Canis lupus familiaris: one gene and its partner. The protein of the gene in region 2 purifies or fractionates together with the protein of the main gene of each other region. This does not show direct contact. Links are inferred from orthologs where the notes say so. Each region holds a gene or a part of one and is shown on either strand. Other genes may lie near its edges.

The links. The genes of interacting proteins can lie anywhere in the genome.
Region 1: the proteins of AP1G1 (region 2) and AP1M2 purify together in Homo sapiens (affinity purification with mass spectrometry; 4 studies listed by BioGRID and IntAct, counting the BioPlex papers as one, with this or other methods). This does not show direct contact. The link is inferred for Canis lupus familiaris from reciprocal best matches to the Homo sapiens genes AP1G1 and AP1M2.

Annotation. Positions count from the first base shown.
Region 1 is NC_049241.1:50,992,661-50,996,958, forward strand, and holds the start of AP1M2 (AP-1 complex subunit mu-2), read left to right. Parts: upstream 1-1,490; 5' UTR 1,491-1,607; coding exon 1,608-1,649; intron 1,650-2,906; coding exon 2,907-3,063; intron 3,064-3,289; coding exon 3,290-3,357; intron 3,358-4,298. UniProt on the Homo sapiens protein: Subunit of clathrin-associated adaptor protein complex 1 that plays a role in protein sorting in the trans-Golgi network (TGN) and endosomes.
Region 2 is NC_049226.1:78,167,908-78,172,116, forward strand, and holds the start of AP1G1 (AP-1 complex subunit gamma-1), read right to left. Parts: upstream 2,801-4,209; 5' UTR 2,445-2,800; intron 1-2,444. UniProt on the Homo sapiens protein: Subunit of clathrin-associated adaptor protein complex 1 that plays a role in protein sorting in the late-Golgi/trans-Golgi network (TGN) and/or endosomes.

The sequences.
Region 1 (4,298 bases), on a different chromosome or scaffold from region 2:
AGCCCCCCCACATGCCCCCTAATAATAATATTGATTGTTGGCTACACCCCGGGTCTGTTCTGAGAGTCGCGTTGGGGGTAGTAACTCAGGCATCTGCATGATAATCTAACGAGGGAAGTTATTTCTATCTCGCAGATGTGCAGACAAGAATTCAGGGAGGAGAGGACAGGTGCCTGAGGTCACCCAGCTGACTGGTGGCAGAGCCAGGACTTGAGCCCAAGCAGCTGGCTCCGGAGGCCTTGTGCTTTACCAGCACATATAAACAACAACAACAAAAACACTATTAGTACCCGCTTTATGCTAGGCTCTGCATGAGGACTCTCTTCCAGCCCATAAGGTCATGGTGGGAAATTTGCAAATGTCAGTCCCTCCCCTGACTTCCCATTGAGATCTCACAGTCCCCCCCTTCCTCAAACCCTGCCAACAGTTCCCTCGCCTTCTTGATCAGAGATGATCATGATGAAGATGATCAAGATGATCTCCCATCATGATCAGAGATCATCTCGTTTTGGGGTTTTTATGTTGTGTGCCTCTCACCCTCGCTCAAAGAGAGCCAGTGGAGTGGCTTTGTCTATTTGCCACCCATAGTGTCACAGAGGGCGCTCAATAAATATTCATCCACTGCGTGACTCATCAGCAGCAGCATTACCATAACGAAAGTCGCTTCCGTATGCTCAGTCCAACACACAGAAGATGCTCAATAAATGTTTGTTGAGTGAATAATAACATTATAATATAGTCACAATGACTTTATTTTGTCAACATCTTAGTGTCACATAATAGGCGCTTATAAGTACTTTTGGAACGAATAAGAATAACATTAGGAATAAGAATAAAAGCAGCGACGTTTGTTCTGCTCAGAGTGCTACCCACAGTTCGTCATTAAAAAAATTTACTAGTCAGAAAATGTCTGAGTGAAAGAATAAATTAATTAGTAAATAGTTATTGAATGAATGAATGAATGCATGCATGCATGGTTTGGACAAATTTATTCTTTTCCCTCTCCTCCCCACGGGCCTGGAAATATTATTGAGTGCCCAGCGTGGGGCCCTGGGGACACAGATACGAACAGGGCAAAATCCTCCACTGGGGCTGACGTGCCTGTGGGAGAGACAGAAGAAAAACAAGATGAGTGGATGAATGGGTGGATGGATGGGGAAGGATGGGTCAGTGGGTGGGTGAATGGGTGGGGGCTGAGTGGGTGGACGAATGGACGGTCAGGTGCGTGGAGGGACTGCTGGGTGGGTGGGTGCATAAATGGAGATGGGTGATGGGTGGGGGGATGAATGGGTGGGGGTGAGTGGGTCGAAGGCTGGCTGGCTGCTGGCTGGGTGGACCAATGGGTGGTTGGTCGGCCTGGAGACTCCTCCCATCCGCACTCCCGGGAGCAGAGGGAAAGTGAGGCGGGGCAGCTGGCCCCTCCGGAGCCCCGCCCTGCTGCAGTCCTCGCGTCGGCCGACAGCGCCGCTCACCTGCGCGCCTCCCCTTTAAGACGCTCTCACCTGGGCGCTCACCTGCGCGCGGGCGCTTCCGCAGGAAGAAGGAAGCAGCGCCGCCGTCGCCTCCCGGCGCTCGCTCCCCGCCTCCCGGGTCCGCCGGCCGCTACCATGTCCGCCTCGGCTGTCTTCATCCTCGACGTCAAGGGCAAGGTGGGCCGGGCGCGGGGGGTGTCGGGGGCAGGACAGGTGAGGCCGCGCGCCCCTGCGCCCGGGGGCGGCCCCTCCTCGCGGGCGGGGGGGCTCCAGAAAGCCCCGGGAGCGTGGGAACACCCCTCCCCCAATCCCGGGAAGTCCCGGCTCGAAGCCCACCTCCCCTGTTGCCCCTCAGCGCGCCGCGCGCGGGCAGGGCCTTTGCCTCTCGGAGCCTCAGTTTCCCTGTCCGGAAAAATGGGGAGAACGAGGTCCCCACCCGCTGGGAGTGACTGCAACTCGCTGAGCGTCGACTGCTTGGCCCTGTAGCCCCGCTGCAAACATTAGGGGTTCGGTCGGTCGGTCGGTTGAAAGGATTTTTATCACCCTCATCATCCACATGATTAATATTTGGGGAAGACGGCAGGGGCGGGAGACCCTCGTTCCCGTTTGGGGCTGCCTTGTCCCCTCCTGAAGTCCCCTCTCAAGCGCCTTGTCATTTCATATAAAAAACCACGGTGGTTGGGGACCCCTGGGAGGCTCAGCGGTTTGGTGCCTGCCTTCAGCCCAGGGCGTGATCCTGGAGTCCCGGGATCGAGTCCCGCGTCGGGCTCCCTGCATGGAGACTGCTTCTCCCTCCGCCTGTGTCTCTGCCTCTCTCTCTCTCTCTCTGTGTCTCTCATTAATAAATAAATAAAATCCTTAAAAATATATATAAATAAAAAACCAGGGTGGTGGTGAAAGCTCAAGTGCTTGAGGACGGGCTCTGCGAGGTCCTGGTTCTCAGCCCTGGACTAAACCACCCTAGGAGGTAGTACTGTTAGCATCCAGGGCTCACTGCCTGCCAGCCGGCGGCTCTGTGCGATGTATGATCTCTCTTTCTATAATCTTTTTTTTTTTTTTTTTGCCTCCTTCCCCCTCCTCTCCCCTCCCCATCCCCTGATTTCCGCACCTCTTAGAGACCTGGTTCACACCTGCCTTTCTCCAGCTTTCAAATGAAGATAGTGCTGGTGCCCGCCCCACAGGTTGTAGTGAGGACATAATCAGTTAGCAAACACCCAGTCTTTGGTAGGACGCGGCCTGGTCCTCAGTGAGGACCCTGGATACCTTGCCCTGGTCACACACCCGTTTTACAGAGGAGGAAACTGAGGCAGAGAGCAGCAGAGTCTTGCCCTTGCCTGTCAGCCAGGGAGTAGAGTCAGAACCAGGCCCTCTGACGCCCCTGGATGAAGGGTCCCGGATTCCAGCCGTGACCAGGCCTTCTCTGCTCACCCTTAGCCCCTGATCAGCCGCAACTACAAGGGCGACGTGGCCATGAGTGAGATTGAGCACTTCATGCCTCTGCTCATGCAGCGGGAAGAGGAGGGCGCCCTGGCCCCCCTACTGAGCCATGGCCGGGTGCATTTTCTGTGGATCAAACATAGCAACCTCTACTGTATCCAGCCCCCAGCTGGGATCCTGGAGGCCTGGGGTGGTAGCAGCTTGGGCCCAGAGAGAGTAGACTGAGGGCAGAAGTTGCACAGCACATCAGGGGCTCGGGTTGGGGTGGAGGGGATGGACAGAAATGAGGTGAGGGTGGGGGGACAGCCAGAGGATTTAGGATCTGGGCTCCATTTGAGACCTCCAAAACGGCACCTTTTCCTTAACTTTGCTGCACATAGTGGTGGCTACCACGCTGAAGAATGCCAACGCCTCCCTCGTGTACTCCTTCCTCTACAAGACGGTGGAGGTAGGTTCTGGCTTCCCGTTGGCCAGCTGGTTTGTCTGTCCACCCCCCTCCACCCCATTTGCTCTTCTCTTTCAGGATCCATCTCTCCTAGGAAGCTTCCCCTGACCTCCATTGAAACCCCATCTCTGTGTTCTCATTAGCTGCTAAGGGATCATCTCTCCCTATAGGGCAAGGACCAAGCAGGTCTTCAAGAGGGTGCACTGCTCAATCCTGGGCCAGAGAATACTGGGTTGCAGTCCCAGCCCCCTACTCTTCCTGGCTGTGTGACCTTGAGCAAGTCACTTCTCTCAGTGTCTAAACTGAGGGTTACAACAAGTCCCACCTTGGGGTGTTGTACAAATTAGTCAAATTCATATTTATGAGTGCTTCAAACAGGGGCTTAGTACACAGTGAGTGCTCAGTAAAGGTTTGGTGGTGGTGTTAGCGTTAGCACGGCTAGAGAATCCTATAATAATTTGAGTGCTTGCTAAATTGCATTCTCAGTGACCGAGAAAGTGCTCAGTAAATACTTTACAACAAACAAGGAATATGTATTGATTTGTCTCCTGCCAGGCGAAGAGGGGACACAGCTATGCACAAGGCAGGTGCAGTCCCTGCCTGTCCCGAGGAGTTAAAGGGCATGAAGGAGATTGAACAGGACATCATGAGAACCAGTGACTAGGGTGCTAGTCTCACTGTGATACTCAGAGGGGAGGAGGGATGTAGTGGCTTCACTGGGGAGGTGACATTTGAGCTGAGGCCTGAATGACAAGGAGTCCATTGTGAGAAGATTGTCCCAGGCATAGGGGACGGCATATGCAAAGAGGTGAGAACGGAAGGCAGGCCAGTGGGGCCGGAGCAGAATGAAGGATGGAGGGTTTCTCAAACTGTCAGATGACTGATAGGTTCTCTGCTGTGGTTTAGCCTACAAAACTCCCAGAGGCTCTGAACTTGGGGACCCA
Region 2 (4,209 bases):
TCCTGCTTTATACACAAAAGTTTTAAATCCTCATCAAATGCAAGTAAGAGGATTAAGCATTTTGAAAATCTGTTTTGGTATGTAGTTTCCTATTCTTTTTTTTTTTTAATTAAAAATAGTCTTTTGGAAAATATTCAACTTTTTCAGTATGTAAAGAGTTTTTATAAATCACAAAAAACTTGAGGGTGCCTGGGTAGCACAGCTGGTTGAGCTGAGCATCCAACTCTCGGTTTCAGCTCAGGTCGTGATCTCAGGGTTGTGAGTTCCAGCCCCAAGTTGGAGGTAGAGTTCACTAAAAAAATAAAATTAACTCTCAAATCTACAAGGAACAAGCAACTGCTCCCAGAAGAAAATGAATTGAGATTTCCTAAACAATAATGTTTCTTACAAGTATAATCCCACCACCTTAGACAAAATAGACATTCAAGTATGTGATTAATCAACAGTGCAATCAACAGCACTTTGCTTATAATTTGTAAGGCAAAAGGACACTCTCCAATTGAATGTAAACCACTTAAGAATGAACAACGTTTAACTACCAATAATTATAATACAAAATGAATGAGTTGAGTAACACCTGATATTTCTTCCAATAACCTTTTAAAAAATTTAACTCAGAAAAAAATATATATAGCTCAGAAATGAACATTTCAATAACTACATGGGGATACTTGGTAAATGAGTTAGGTATCCTATACACGTTCAGGGGTTCGACAGTTCCTTCAAACCAAAAGAGAAATTCCCTATCTCAAGAGTAAATACACAAATACTAACATACTTTTGAAAAGACTCTTTAAAACAAACAACAAGAACACTATTTACAATGAAAACATTCAGTCTTCTATTGAAACATCATATGACCAGTACAGGAATTTATCTACCTGATAAGAACAATGCACTTAGACATGGCTTAGAAGTATTAAAAGGTTTGATTCAAGTTATGTTTTTTTTCATTTTCCTCTTCACTCCCTACATCGAGTCCATCAAGTTACAAATTTAAATTTCAGCAGTCCCTATAGACTGTAATCTTAAATTATTTGTCTCTCGCAGATTTTAAAACCCAGGCTGCGATGAAATAGAGGGGATTCGATCACACTCGCCTAACTTAAAATGTAGGAAATAATCCGTGAATTAATGTGAAATGCTTTTTACTCAAGCACGCTACACTGCAAACTTACTTTAAGAACAGCATAAAAGTGGTGAGATTATGGACACCTGGAGAGCCTATATTTTTAAGCCAAAAGGTTAAGGGTATAGTCTGACAAGTATTATGGGGAACAGTAGAAGCGAACATTTAAAATTCAACGAGCTCCCCCCCAAAAAAGAAAAAAATCCCACACACGAGGTCTACCTAAGTATTTTTAAGAATCAGCAAAGATCACTGCCGTACGAAACACCTGCAAGTTGAGATCACAAAGAAATCTTCCGTCCTCTCTTCTGTTAACTAATCGCGACAGGAGCCAAAAAAAAAAAAAGTTACTTCCCTTACTACGGAGGTCGGATTAAGATCCTTCCTTCTCAGGCAATTTCCCTGCCCCGGGACATACAACACCAAGACAAGTACAGAAGTGTCAATAAACACCCCCCCCCCCCCCCCAAAAAAGCCAACTGTTCAGCACAGGAAGAGAATTCACAAATGAGAGAAACCTCTGACAGCCTTCTCCCTACCCCTCCCCAAAAGCCATTCAATCAGCTTTAAAACTGCTCAAGTGTGCTCCGAGCGAACGGCCCGATGGACCGCCTTCATCAAACCCTAACAAGGAAACAGAAGCAATCGTCCCGACTCGTCCAGACAGTCGAGAAGATAGAATTAGTAGGAACTGACGTCCGCAGGGTCAGGGCTTTGCGAGAAGGCTAAGCAGTGGGACTCGCGGGTGAGTTCGGGAGTTGGGGAGGGACCCTGAAAATCGGGAAAGAAGTTGGTGGGAAGGTTAGGGAGAGGCGAGGCCGACGTCCGGTTCCGAGGGGCCGGCACTGCGGGGCAGACAGCGACTAACGGAGCCTCTGAAAGACCTTTGGAGAGTTCTACGAAAGACCTGACCCGAGTGCAAGACACGAGAACGCTGATACGTAGCTCGGAGACGACACGCGGGGGTGGGACCCGCCCCGCTAACCCCGGGCTCCCTGAACGAGCCCTCAAGAGAGGATCGAAGCCCGAGAAAGTCGATGGGTCCAGAGGAGGCCCGCACCGGCCGGGCAGCGCCACGACTCCGAACGCAGCCGCGCGGGGAGCCTCCGGGTCCGAGGCCTCGGGTCGGCCCTCAAGAAGTCGGAGCAGCCCCTGGGACTCCGCGCCCCTCCTGGGCCAGCCTCTGTCCTCTCTTCTCGCCCCCTGAAGCCGAGGACCGGACCCCCGGTGTTGACAGGAAGCTTCCGGCCGAGCGCTCCCAGCAGGCGCGGGGCAAAAGAAGCAATATGTTCGTAGCGCCGCGAGTGACACTCACCGGCCCGAAACCTCGAATGAAACCAGCAGCTCCGGGGGCGGCGGCAGCAGTGGCAGCAGGAACCGAACATCCAAAATGGCGGCTCCCTCGGCCTCACCACCGCTACTGCAGGCGGAAGGATCCTCTTAGGAAGCGGGGAGTTTCTAACTAACTTCACGCAGTACTGCAGAAACTTGGGTCTCTATCCCCCTCTCCTTGTCGATTCCGTGTTCCCTAGCTGCAACTTCTTCTACCTCCCCTCTCCTATTAACCAAGAACTCGGACCCCGCCGAGGACTATTTGCCAAGGAGGAGGTGACTGCTCCTAGCAGAGCGACGCAAAGCGTAGCAAGGTACGGGGCGGTCACTGATGACGAGAGACGCTGCTGCCGAGTCACCGCTGCGAAGAGTCTGAGCGAGAAAGATCCGGCTGACCCTGGAAGGCCTCCGAACATTGGTTCCGCTGGCGGGGGGAGGAGCAGGCCGAGCTACCAGGAAGCGGCGGGGGCCACCGAAAGGGGGCGGGACTACCGCGGAGGAAGTGGGCGGGGCGAGGCGAGGCAGGTGGGGGGCGGGGACTTAATACACAAATAGCCCAAACTGCTGCCTCCGGTGTTTTCAGACCTCACCTTTCTAACTTCAGGGACACGCCCCACGTGGTATTGGCTTCCATACTTGTGTGGTATCTCTGCAAAGTATCTTATAAAAAGAGCTAGAGGATGATACAGAAGAATGGATTCCAGACCCAGTACCAGCCCTCAACCTCCTGTATTGGACAAGTCATTGAATCTCTCGGGACTTCAGCTTCCTCGTACGTAAACACAAAGGACTTGGACTAGTGATCGTTGTTAGAACCCTTCCAGACTGGGCTTTTCTCACTGTGTCTCCATCAGCTAAGGACCTGAGCCAGAGAGAGTCTACCCAGACCGTTCCTGGCTTGAAAAATAATTACTAACACCTGACACAAGTATGTTCCACGTGAACTTGATTATCTTAGCCCACTGAAGGGAAAGGTGACTTACCTAAACTAAAATCCTTCAGGTAGATTGGCAGTAAAGTTGTCCTGGAAGTGAATAAAGCACAGCACCTGGCTAGATGCCAAAAAGAACCCGACTAACCATAAATCTGGAGTTTAGGACCTGTCAGAGACAGGAGGTTGCCCTCTCTTCCTTCGACAAGCCCTTTCATGCAGAGATTTCAAAACATTTTCCAGAAATTGAACTGAGGAGGTCCGCCTGTACAGTTTTACTCCTTAACTACTAGGATTTAAAAAGTGACTGGAAACAAAGCCCTGGGGGCGTGATGGTAGTAATTATCACTTTTTTATTATCAAATATTCATATCATACTTTTTATAAAAGCATCTTCCTTGTGTAATCTAATTTGACCCTCCCACCAATTCTTGTTTGACTCAGACTAAACAAGCATAACGAACTTAGTTTCACAAGTAAGGAGATTGAGAGTCACAAACTATTGCTTACTGCAAGACCCTCCTTCTCCCCTCCCACATTGGGATTCTGCTGTTCAGTGCCACCTCCTGAATTAGAAAAGGTACACACCTACCCACCCACCCTCACACTCACACTCAGGGGGGAATCAGCCCAGATGGAAATGATCTGAGGAACAGAATGCTTATGGAATTCAGTTGCCTCCTACCCTGTAGTGCACTACTGTCCAATGCAGCCTTGGATCACGCAACTACTAAGCAGTAGCATAGAACTAGAACATGATGGGACACCTGGGAGGTTCAGTGGTTGAGCATCTGCCATTGGCTCAGATGGTGATCCT